Macaca fascicularis: one gene and its partners. The protein of the gene in region 1 purifies or fractionates together with the protein of each later gene. This does not show direct contact. Links are inferred from orthologs where the notes say so. Each region holds a gene or a part of one and is shown in the gene's direction. Other genes may lie near its edges.

What was found.
Region 2: the proteins of DDX39A (region 1) and THOC1 purify together in Homo sapiens (affinity purification with mass spectrometry; 3 studies listed by BioGRID and IntAct, with this or other methods). This does not show direct contact. The link is inferred for Macaca fascicularis from reciprocal best matches to the Homo sapiens genes DDX39A and THOC1.
Region 3: the proteins of DDX39A (region 1) and API5 fractionate together in Homo sapiens (co-fractionation; 3 studies listed by BioGRID, with this or other methods). This does not show direct contact. The link is inferred for Macaca fascicularis from reciprocal best matches to the Homo sapiens genes DDX39A and API5.

The regions. Positions count from the first base shown.
Region 1 is NC_088393.1:14,840,966-14,844,612, reverse strand, and holds part of DDX39A (ATP-dependent RNA helicase DDX39A), read left to right. Parts: exon of another isoform or gene 1-4; intron 5-2,960; 5' UTR 2,961-2,964; coding exon 2,965-3,172; intron 3,173-3,507; coding exon 3,508-3,635; intron 3,636-3,647. UniProt on the Homo sapiens protein: Helicase that plays an essential role in mRNA export and is involved in multiple steps in RNA metabolism including alternative splicing. Regulates nuclear mRNA export to the cytoplasm through association with ECD.
Region 2 is NC_088392.1:68,930,656-68,934,302, reverse strand, and holds part of THOC1 (THO complex subunit 1), read left to right. Parts: intron 1-1,017; coding exon 1,018-1,126; intron 1,127-2,473; coding exon 2,474-2,605; intron 2,606-3,092; exon of another isoform or gene 3,093-3,647. UniProt on the Homo sapiens protein: Component of the THO subcomplex of the TREX complex which is thought to couple mRNA transcription, processing and nuclear export, and which specifically associates with spliced mRNA and not with unspliced pre-mRNA.
Region 3 is NC_088388.1:22,512,076-22,516,377, reverse strand, and holds the start of API5 (apoptosis inhibitor 5), read left to right. Parts: upstream 1-1,470; 5' UTR 1,471-1,599; coding exon 1,600-1,668; intron 1,669-4,302. UniProt on the Homo sapiens protein: Antiapoptotic factor that may have a role in protein assembly. Negatively regulates ACIN1. By binding to ACIN1, it suppresses ACIN1 cleavage from CASP3 and ACIN1-mediated DNA fragmentation. Also known to efficiently suppress E2F1-induced apoptosis.

The DNA.
Region 1 (3,647 bases):
GCCGGTGAGTGAGGGGCAATGGGGGAGATGAGGTCTGAGTATAGAGGAGTCAGATCAGGAGGGGCCTGGTAGGCTGGCTGTGTGGAAACTTGAGTTTTCTGAGCAGAGCAGTGATGTACTCAGGCTTTTTTTTTTTTTTAAATTTTTTTTTAAATTTTTTGAGATAGCCTTGCTCTGTCGCCCAGGCCGGAGGGCAGTGGTGTGATCTTGGCTCACTGCAACCTCTACCTCCTAGGTTCAAGTGATTCTCCTGCCTCAGCCTCCCGGGTAGCTGGAATTACAGGTGCCCGCCACCACACCTGGCAAATTTTTGTTATTTTAGTAGAGACGGGGTTTCACCATGTTGGTCAGGCTGGTCCTGGACTCCTGACCTTAGGTGATCCGCCCGCCTCGGCCTCCCAAAGTGCTGGGATTACAAGCGTGAGCCACTGGGCCTGGCCGTGACTCAGTTTGATAGGATCTTTCTGGCTGCTCTGGGGAGGGGCTGGGGGATGGCAACAGGGAAACCAGGGAGGAGGCTGTTGGCTTAATTCAGCCAAGAGATGATGGCCTCTGCATGTCCAGCTGACAGTGGTTAAGCAAAATGTAGTATATTGATGAGAAGGAACATTAGGTGACCATGGAAAGAAATGAGGCCGGGTGTGGTGGCTCACACCTGTAATCCCAGGACTTTGGAAGGCCAAGGGGGGTGGATCGCCTGAGCCCGGAAGTTGGAGATCAGCCTGGGCAACATGGTGAAACCCCATCTCTGTTACAAATACAAAAATTAGTGGTGGTGGGTGCCTGTAGCTTCTGCTACTAGGGAGGCTGAGGTGGAAAGATCGCTTGATTGAGCCTAGGAGGCAGAGGTTGAAGTGAGCTTTGATTGGGCTGCTGTACTCCAGTCTGGGCAACAGAGCAAGACCTTGTCTCAAAGAGGGGGAAAAAAAAAGGGAGTGCTGATGATGTGCTGGAGCACATTGTGCTGAGTGAAGAAACCAGACACAGAATGTCACAAATTGTAAGATTTCATTTATGTGAAATATCCACAACAACCAGCAAATCCACAGAAACAGAAAGCAGATTAGTGGTTGCCCGGGGCTGGGGTGGGGTATTTAGGGTATGGATGGGTAAAGGGTACAGGAGCTTTTATTTCAAGGTGATGAAGTATTCTAAAATTGCTCGTGTGGTAGTGGTTGCACATGTTGGTTCTACACTAAAAACCACTGAATTGTCTGCTTTAAGTGGTGAGTTGTATAGCGTGTAAATATCTCTGTGAAGTTTTTTTTTTTTTTTAGGCTGGAGTGAGGTGGCATGATTTTGGCTCATCACAACCTCCGCCTCCCGGGTTTAAGCGATTCTTCTGCAGCAGCTTCCCGAGTAGCTGGGATTATAGGCGCCTGCCACCACACCTGACTAAATTTTTGTATTTTTAGTAGAGATGGGGTTTCACCATGTTGGTCAGGCTGGTCTGGAACTCCTGACTTCAGGTGACCCGCCTGCCTTGGTCTCTCAAAGTGCTGAGATTACAGGCGTGAGCCCCCACGCCTGGCCTGTAAAGCTGTTCTAATTAAAAATAATAATAACAAGGCCAGGCGCAGTGGCTCACGCCTGTAATCCCAGCACTTTAGGAGGCCTAGGCGGGCGGATCACGAGGTCAGGAGTTCGAGACCAGCCTGACCAACATGGTGAAACCCTGTCTCTACTGAAAATACAAAAATTATCTGAGCGTGGTGGCAAGCACCTGTAATCCCAGCTACTCAGGAGGCTGAGGCAGGAGAATCTCTTGAACCCTGGAGGCGGAGGTTGCAGTGAGCCGAGGTGCCACTGCGCTGCAGCCTGGGTGACAGAGCAAGATTCCGTCTCAATAATAATAAAAAACAGGTGATAGCACATTGGGGCCAGCATGGTAGCATAGGTGAGAACTGGCCAGAGGGCCTTGATGGGATTCACTGCCTCATGGACAGGGATGTTGAGAGAGAAAAAAACAGCCATTGAGAGAATGGAATTGCTGTTTCTGGGCTGGGATTGAGTGACAGTGGGGCCAGAAGTGGCTTAGGATCCTCAGCATCCAGCCTCAGGAAGAATTGTATCAGCTGCAGCCCTCTGCTCCACCCCCCACTGGAGTCTGGGGTAGGGGAGGAGGATATAAGACAATTGTCCTCATGTTTGGGTCCCTTGCACCCAGCAGGCACTTGGTATGCATTAGATTAATAAAGCAAAGAGGTAGGCAGACTTTGTATTAATTCCATTTTCCATCTTCTCAGCTTTATTTTTATTGGCCCAGGCCCAATAGGAGGCCTTTCATGAGAGCACTTAATTATTCCCCTGTGCAGACCACAGAGAGCGGGAGAAGCTGGGGCTGGGCAGATACTGCTTGCTCTCTTGCAAACTTAGTTCCCGCCAGCATCCTGGCAGCCCTACCCCTGGGGTCTTTGGGCTCCTGCCCCATGAAAGCCCAGTGGGTTCCTTGCGGAGTGATAGGGAGGGGGCTTCTCTGGGCTAGGTAGCCCGAGGAGGTTCACTGGAGCTGAGGCTTGCGTGTGGAGAAGAAGGCATTTGTGCAGAGACCTGGGGGCCGAGCATTGCTGGTGGTGACAACCGGGTTCAAAGGCTTGGGGCAGGAGTTCCAGGGGTCTGAGCAGCTGAACAAGGCTGGGGGTGGTGTGGGATGAGGTGGGCAGGGGTCAAACCAAGGGGATTGCCTGACCTGTGGTGAGAGTTGGGATTTTAACTCTGCAAGCCATGGGAAGCCCTTGGAGGTGGAGGGTGTTCTGTCTGTGGGTGTGGCAAGCGGGGCATGGGGGAGAGATAGGGTGGCTTGGGGGTGCGGAGGTGAAGACAGGGCGAAGCTACGAGATGCAGCCCAGGTGGAGCTGACAGGCTGGCTTATGGAAGGAGGTGGTAGAGAATGCCGTTTGAATGAAGCTTCATCATCCTTCTGTGCCCACTCGCGGGACCCTGCCTCTCTCTCTTCTCAGCATCATGGCAGAACAGGATGTGGAAAATGATCTTTTGGATTACGATGAAGAGGAAGAGCCCCAGGCTCCTCAAGAGAGCACACCGGCTCCCCCTAAGAAAGACATCAAGGGATCCTACGTTTCCATCCACAGCTCTGGCTTCCGGGACTTTCTGCTGAAGCCGGAGCTCCTGCGGGCCATCGTGGACTGTGGCTTTGAGCATCCGTCTGAGGGTACGCCTTCTGGGTGTCATCCTCTTGCCCAGGTCCTCACCAAGACAAGACCAGCCCTGCCCGCCCAGAGCGGTGCTGCCTCCAGTGTGCCGTGGGTGAGGGAGGGGCCTGCCCACCCCTTGGATCAGTTGTGCCCAGCAGGGCCTATGGCTGCTCTCAGCACCGGGGTGCTCTGCTTTGACCAGGCAGATACCCTAGCCCTGCAGGTGTCTGTGGCCTTGTCCGGACTTGGCCTTTTCTGATTGCCCTCACTGTGGGCCCCCTGGTCAACTGGTGAGCAGCCTGCACGGGGGTGTGTCCAGGTTCTCGTCTCTCACGCTCTGCTTCTCCTGCAGTCCAGCACGAGTGCATTCCCCAGGCCATCCTGGGCATGGACGTCCTGTGCCAAGCCAAGTCTGGGATGGGCAAGACAGCGGTCTTCGTGCTGGCCACCCTACAGCAGATTGAGCCTGTTAACGGACAGGTGGGTGGGCTC
Region 2 (3,647 bases), on another chromosome or scaffold:
TCACGAAGTCAGGAGCTTGAGACCATCCTGGCTAACACGATGAAACCCTGTCTCTACTAAAAATACAAAAAATCAGCTGGGCGTGGTGGTGGGCACCTGTAGTCCCAGCTACTCAAGAGGCTGAGGCAGGACAATTGCTTGAACCCGGGAGGCAGAGCTTGCAGTGAGCCAAGATCACACCACTGCCCTCTACTCCAGCCTGGGCAACAGCGAGACTCCTTTAAAAACAAAAAAAAAAAATTAAAAGAATATGTATTGACACTGTAGATTTGTGACATATCAAGATTAGAAGTTGAATTAGTAGTGCCATAATAAAGTCACTAGAGAAAGGGCTTATTTTTGTGATGCTAACTTGATATGTACCATATATGTTTATCTCATACTAATGCTTCTTAGGATATATTATTAGTTAGTGACTGTTAACATAGATTCAGATTAACATCGGTTTAAACAACATAAAAGTTGATTTTTTTCCCCCTCATATCGAAGTCTAGAAGCAGGCAGTCCAAGGCTGGTAAGGGAGCGCTGCTCAGTGAGATTGCCTAGACCCTGGTTTCTTCTACCTTCTTCTTCCATCATCTCTTGGTGTTTGCCGTTTTTCCTGTAGTGCAGGGTGGCTCACTCTCACATCTACATTCTAGCCAGCAGGAAGAGGAAAAGGCCAGTGATAAAATATGGCCCAAAAGTTGCACATATGACTTCTGCTCCCAACTGATTGGCCAGAATTTAATCACATGATCATACTAGCAGCAAGATTGGTTGGGAAACATAATCTTTAATTCTGAATAACCATGTGTCCTTCCAAAATTCAGGGGCTCCACCAGTGTAGATAAAGAGAGTCTATTGGGGTCTGTGAGTTCCCTAAAATGATTTGTAAAAGTTTATATAAGTATTTGTGAATGTGTACTTTTCTGATAACTTTCATTAGCTTCTGAAAATGGTTTGTGACCAAAGCTAAGAATAGATATTTGTAAAAGAATTTGAATGATTTATGTAATGTAACATTTATTTTATTAGCTCTATTCCAATTGATTACAACCTGTATCGAAAATTCTGGTCACTTCAGGATTACTTCAGGAACCCCGTGCAATGCTATGAGAAGATTTCATGGAAAACTTTTCTCAAGGTGAGTTGCCAGTGACAGACTGTCAGAAGCCTAGTATTTTATAGCCAGTGATAGAGCTAAAACTTACCCTTGTCTAACATACTTTTCACTATTTTATTCTACCTCTTACATTTTTATACCAATTTCATAACAAGCTAAATTACAAATTAATATTTAAACCACTATTATTGTGAAGTAGTGTGTAAGAATCGGATATTTAAAAGTCATTACAGCCTTGCTTTTTTGGAATATAATGAGTGTTATCAACATAAATTGATGATATTTTGCAGAATATATTCTGTCTTTGTACAAAATTATTTTAGCTGTCTTGTTGAAACAGAAGTCCTCAAGTCATGGCCCTGGGCCAGATCTGACCTACTGCTTGTAAACAAAGGTTTATTGGAATACTACCATGACCTCCACTTACCTGTGGCTGTTTTTGCACTCTAATGGCACAGCTGAGTAGTTGCAACTGAGACTATAAAGGCCACAAAGCCTGAAATAATTACTCTCTGGTCCTTTATGGAAGAAGTTTGCCAATCCTGTTTTAGAAGAATTTTTTATATTTTTCTTGGCTACTTAAAGATCAGTTATCCTTTTTTGTTGTAATCAAAATATAAGATAAGTAGGTAGTTCTCAAAGTAGCGTGGTGTGTGTTATGTTATTTTTAATAGTTTTTGTTTTGTATGCAATTTTTTGTGGGGGCAGCACCATCCAAATTCAGATTAAGTGGTTAGTGAGAAATAATCTGAAATTGTCTTCTAACTGAACAGAATTTGATGGAATTTATTTGCTCAGTCTTTAGCACAAGAAATACATAAGAGTTTCTACAGGTAGTTAAACAATTTCACTGGTAAATTCCTATACACTCTTAAAAGTGTTCCCTTCTCTGTTTGTCCCTTACACAAACTTCTTAAATCATATTTCTTTTTTTTTGGAGACGGAGCCTCCCAGGTTCGAGGGATCCTTTAGCCTCAGTCTCCCGAGTAGCTGGGACTACAGGTGCCCGGCTAATTTTTGTGTTTTTAGTTGAAACAGGGTTTCACCATGTTGGCCAGGCTTGTCTCAAACTCCTGATCTCAAGTTACCTGCCCACCTCAGCCTCCCAAAGTGCTGGGATTACAGGCATGAGCCACCGCAACTGGCCAAGAAATCGCATTTCTTTAGGAGTAGGGAACTTGTTCCTACTTTTACAACAAGTGAAATATCCACAATAGTTTTTACTCCCATAATTTTTATTGTTAGTGTGCCTTACAATATACAATATACATACATGATTGAGAGTAAATTCTAGACATTTTGATGCAGAAAAGCACTAAACAAATTTGGGTAACAATGTCGAATAAAACTAACATTTTTATTTTGCAGTATTCTGAAGAAGTTTTAGCTGTTTTTAAGAGTTATAAATTAGATGATACTCAGGCCTCAAGAAAAAAGATGGAAGAATTGAAAACAGGAGGAGAGCATGTATATTTTGCAAAATTTTTAACAAGTGAAAAGGTATAAGTTTTTCTTTCTCACTAAGCATAATAAGAAATGGTCTTGTTTTATTTCTGTTTAGCTGACAGCCTTTCTAACTTAAATTGAATAGAAATGTTTCCTATTTTTACTTTGGGTTAAAGCTGATTAATGTTACTTTGAAAGTCCCATTTCTTCCTTTCACAAGTAGGACTAATTTGATTTCAAAGGTGAAAGTAATTCTACATTAAGTCTGTTTTGTAGACTAATTTTGGAATAAATGCAGTTTAATTACTTTCATGTCTATATATTTTAAACGTCAAGTTAGGATTTAATTTGTATATGAAAATAATATTTCATAATATTTAGGTACAAGTAAGGGGTTTAAAAGTTCCTTGTTAATCTTATTTATACATTTTAAAAAGTAAATTTTGTTCAAATATAATGCTACAAGATGATGTAAAGTTTCTAGTCAAGATGGCACATTGAGTTTATGTTTCGACTCACTCCCTTTGCTCCAAACACATAGCAATGACGGGTAAAATATAAATGAGAAAACAAAAGAGACAAGGCTGGGCTTCCACAAACAAGATAAATATCTTCATGGACCAGAAATGCCAAGTAGTGAGCAAAACTGCAGCCTGGGCCTGCTGGACTCTCTATCCAAGGCAGGTGGTGGTGTCCAGGAATTTGGCTACAAGTAACAGAGACTAAATGTGCACCATGTGGGACAAGGGGCCAGAGCCAGTTTCGCTTCTTGAAGCCAAGGACTAGGGTGGAACTTTTATCCACTTTTGGAAAGAAACTAAGAAAAAAGATTGCCAGTCTTCTGCCAAGGGCTATGGTTTTATAGGAAGTTGTGAGCCTAGGGATAACAAAGACAGCTTTGTGTCCATCTGCTTGCTCAGTGACCAGATATGTGATATGCTAAGTATACTTATGAAGCAGCTGCTGTAAGAAGTCATCATAAGACTTATTCTAGACTTTTGGACTCAGGGGCCCTGGTAGAAGCAGATGCAGAACTGCTAGAAAGGGAAGGATGTACACAGAGAGGGAGGGGAAAGGAAGTAAACAAACATCCCAA
Region 3 (4,302 bases), on another chromosome or scaffold:
ACGCTTGAGGGAAGGGGATAGAAATTGCCCTCAATGTACTCACAAGAACATCTTTCTCTAAAACATAAAAATAAAAAAATCTTATCACCAATTGCTCTCATTTCATTCCCTAATTCTTTTTCTGTTTCTCCATGAAAGTCCAAATTGTAATTTTTTTAACATTGAATTTTACACTTGATTTCTTATTTTTAGACAGGGGTCTTGTTATGTTGCCCAGGCTGGACTTGAACTCCTGGGCCCAAGTGATTCTCCTCACTTAGCTTCCCACATAGCGGGGACTGTTGGCTATCACACTCAGCTCTAATCCTTTTTAGGGTTGGAAATTTATCCTCAATCTAACTGAGAAGTACAAGAGCCAGTGAGTTCTTTAGTAATCATTTCCTGTGTATATTCTGTACAAGTGGATCTGGCTTTGAAATTTACAGTGTATTAGAGTTTGATGTTTCGATCTTGAAATTTTAACATCCTTTAACATCCTTTTACACATACACACATAACTTTGTTTTGTATGCTTTGTATGTTTTACCTAATGGGATCATCTTATACCTGCTTTTTAACTTTTTTTTCTTTTTCTGAGATAGAGTTTTGCTCTGTGGCCCAGGCTGGAGTGCAGTGGCATGATCTGGGCTCACTGTAACCTCTGCCTCCTAGGTTCAAATAATTCTCCTGCCTCAGTCTCCCAAGTAGCTGGGACTACACGTGCGTGCCACCATGCCTGGCTAATTTTTGTATTTTTAGTAGACACCAGGTTTCACCATGTTGGCCAGGCTGATCTTGAACTCTTGACCTCAAGTGATCCACCCACCTCAGCCTTCCAAAGTGCTGGGATTACAGGTGCGAACCACAGCGCCCAGCTATATATAGACATGATAATTATATAATATATATATAAAATTTCATCTAAACTTGTATCTTAGAAATTCTTATCAGTAAGCGTACGTGATTTCATTTATTTATTACTCTCTTGGATACTATACATAATCAGGTGGCCCCAATTCTTTACACTGGCAGCAAAGATATGCAAATTCTTCCAGCAGGCCGAATTTGACCCCACACTTGATTAGCGTGGTGGACACAGAGGGTTTTTAAATGGCATAGGAATGCTTTTTGCTTCCCACCGGACCCACTACCCTCTATTGCCACTGATTAATATTACCTTCCTTGAATCAGGAGGAAACCGTTTGTGACTTCTCATATGTAAGATCCTCTAAGGGCAGAAACGCGATTATCTTTGTATTAATCTCCCCGCCCACCCCCACCCCTCCCATCGAGAGCCTCCAGTCAGGTTCAAGCTTTCAAAAAGGCGTGAGATAATCCAATCATCCTTGCCGCTTTTTGCTCCTCCAAGCTCTAGAGGGCGACAAAAATCGCGGAGGCGCATTGGAGTCTACTGAAGGCCGCTCCCGACGTGCGCGTCTTTACGTAGACGTCGGGGGCGGAGCCGCGCTGTGAGCGGTGACTGGCGGCGGCACTGGCGGCGGCACTGGCGGCAGCTGGAGGTGTAATAGTGCAGGTAGTGGGGTTGGAGAAGTTCCGAGGCGGCGGTGGCGCCGGTGAGGACTAGGATAGCGGAAGCGGGCCCTGGGCTTGTCGCTCACCATGCCGACGGTAGAGGAGCTTTACCGCAATTATGGCATCCTGGCCGATGCCACGGAGCAAGTGGGCCAGGTGAGTGAGTCCCCGGGCGGCCTGCAGGGCCCGGCGCTCCGCGGCCTTTCCAAAGCGCAGCCCGCCGCGCTCTCCCGGGCCGGGCGGGGGCTGCGGCTTCATCCTCCCGGGGGAGCTCCTAACCTCCCCAGGCCGTCTCGTCGGGGTGGGCCTCTCTGGGAGTGTAGACTCTGGCTTCACCAGGGAGACCGCGGTCCCCAGGGTTCCAGGCTTCCCTGCCTCCCTCGCCCAGCCTTTTCCCACCTTGGCGTAACCTAACTCAGCCTGTTCAGGCTCACGTTAATTCTCCTCCCGGGCTTTCCTCTACAGTATTCTGTTAAGCCTTTCTCCTTTCCCGTCCCCTTTTCTGAACAAGATTAGATCGGGAGTTTTCTTCAAGAGGTCAAGATGTGTTGTTTTTTTGTTTTTGTTTTTGTTTTTTTGGAGGCAAAATTCTGCTACTAGTTGAAGAAGAGTGTTTAGGAGACAGAAGTTTGTAAGAAACAGAAGAGGGACTCTTTGGTCCAGACTTTGATGAAGGCTCACGGTTTCATTTATTCAGTACATTTTTTGAGCGCCGAGCGCTGGAGATACAGATGGAAAGGTCCGCGCGCTCTCAGAATGTACAGTTAGGAGGGAGTGTAGTGAGTGATGAATAAGAAAGGCATTGTGAGGCCCGGCGCGGTGGCTCACGCCTGTAATCCCAGCACTTTGGGAGGCCCAGGCGGGTGGATCACGAGGTCAGGAGTTCGAGACCAGCCTGAGCAACATGGTGAAACCCCGTCTCTGCTAACAATACAAAAATTAGCTGGGCGTGGTGGTGCGCGCCTGTAATCCCAGCTACTCAGGAGGCGGAGGTGGGAGGATTGCTTGAACCTGGAAGGCGGAGGTTGCAGTGAGCCGAGATCGCTTCACTGCTCTCCAGCCTGGGCAACCGAGCGAGACCCCGTCAAAAAAAAAAAAAGGGGGTTTTTTTAAAATTATTATTTATCGTTTTTAATGAAACGTGTTTGAAGAAAATAAAACAGGGCTGGGCGAAGGAGTGTGTGAGAGTGCAGCTCTGAATGGAGTTCTCTGGAAGAGCGCTCTTGCCATGCTTGCCGCGGATACACAGTTTCTCAGCAGTGAATTATCCGTACGAGCCATTTGTTCCCTGTATGAGTTTTCAAGTAGCGGAGTACATTGAACTTGATAAGTGGCTGGGAAAAGAACCAGGAAGTCCTAGAGGCAACTTTGATAATTGTTTTAGAAATCCCACACCATAGCTTTTCAGTGCTTAGTTAGAACTTTGTGATTTTTCTGCTTACGCATCCCTTCTTGGAGAAAGTGGAAGATTCTAGTCTATTAACAGTCGTGGGAGTACCTTTCCCGTCCCCTTTTCTGAACATAATTCAAATAAGACCTTTCTGAGCTGAAAGAAAAAAAAAAAATCATGTTGGAGCTTTATTGTAGCTTAATCTAGAATTGTGAATGTACCAGTTTGAAATAGCAGATGATTTTTTTTCCCTTCATTCCCTGTCAGTAGGGAATTTCACTATTATCAGTGAGAAATGTATACGGATATTCTGTTGTACATGTGGACAGAGTGTGTAGGTCGGTTGTGAAGGAGGAATATTCTCTTCATTAAGAAGATAAAAACTGCCGGGCATGGTGGCTCACTCCTGTAATCCCAGTTCTTTAAGAGGCCTGGGTGGGCAGATCACTTGAGGTCAGGAGTTCGAGACCAGCCTGGCAAACATGGTGAACTCCTATCTCTACTAAAAATACAAAAAATAGCCAGGCATGGTGGCGTGCGCCGGAAGTCCCAGCTATTTGGGGTGGCTGAGGCAGGAGAATCACTTGAACCCAGGGGGCAGAGGTTCCTGTGAGCTGATACCAGGCCACTCCAGTTCAGCCTGGGCAGCAGAATGAGACTCCATCTCAAACAAAAAATTAAAAAAAAAAAAAAGATAAAAACTATGTAGGATCAGTTTGAATTTGTTATTCCTAAAAAGAACTAGTAGTGAAGATATTCTCAATCGTATAATTTTTCTGGGACTTAGTTGGGTAACTTTGTAACAAATTGTTCTACCTGTGTTTGATTTTGTTGCACATCAGTAGAGGGGATAGGGTGAAAGCTAGAACTGTGGTTCTGTCAGGAATCTTTCTAAGAAGCCTTTGAAACCGTATAGATAATGCTGTCCCATTCCCCTACTTTAATTTTGAGATTTGCTTACATTTCCTTCTCATGTCATCTTTATAAAAACCAGATTGAATTGAGAGTTCTCCCCCAAGGAGTCAAAATGTCTTTCTTGCAGCAAAAATGTATTTGCAGCAAAAATGTACTCTTTATTTAGTAAGGGTACTTGAGACAAGTTTGTGAAAAAATGGAAAAGGATAACTTTGTCTACACTTTAATGAGAATTCATGCTTTATTCGGTAGGTTTCACCTACCATGTACCACACACCCGGCTGGATGCTGGAATTTAACACAGTTCCCTGTAGATTATGGGTCATCAATGCGTTCTGTATTGACAGCTGTCAAGCAACTATCTAAACTCTCTGCATAATGAGATGTAGTGATTAGCTCAGGCTGCTCAAACTGTGAATTTTAGGAGAACCAAAGATAATGCCTACTAATTCTGCTCTGTTGGGTTATACTTCTCCCCTTTTAGA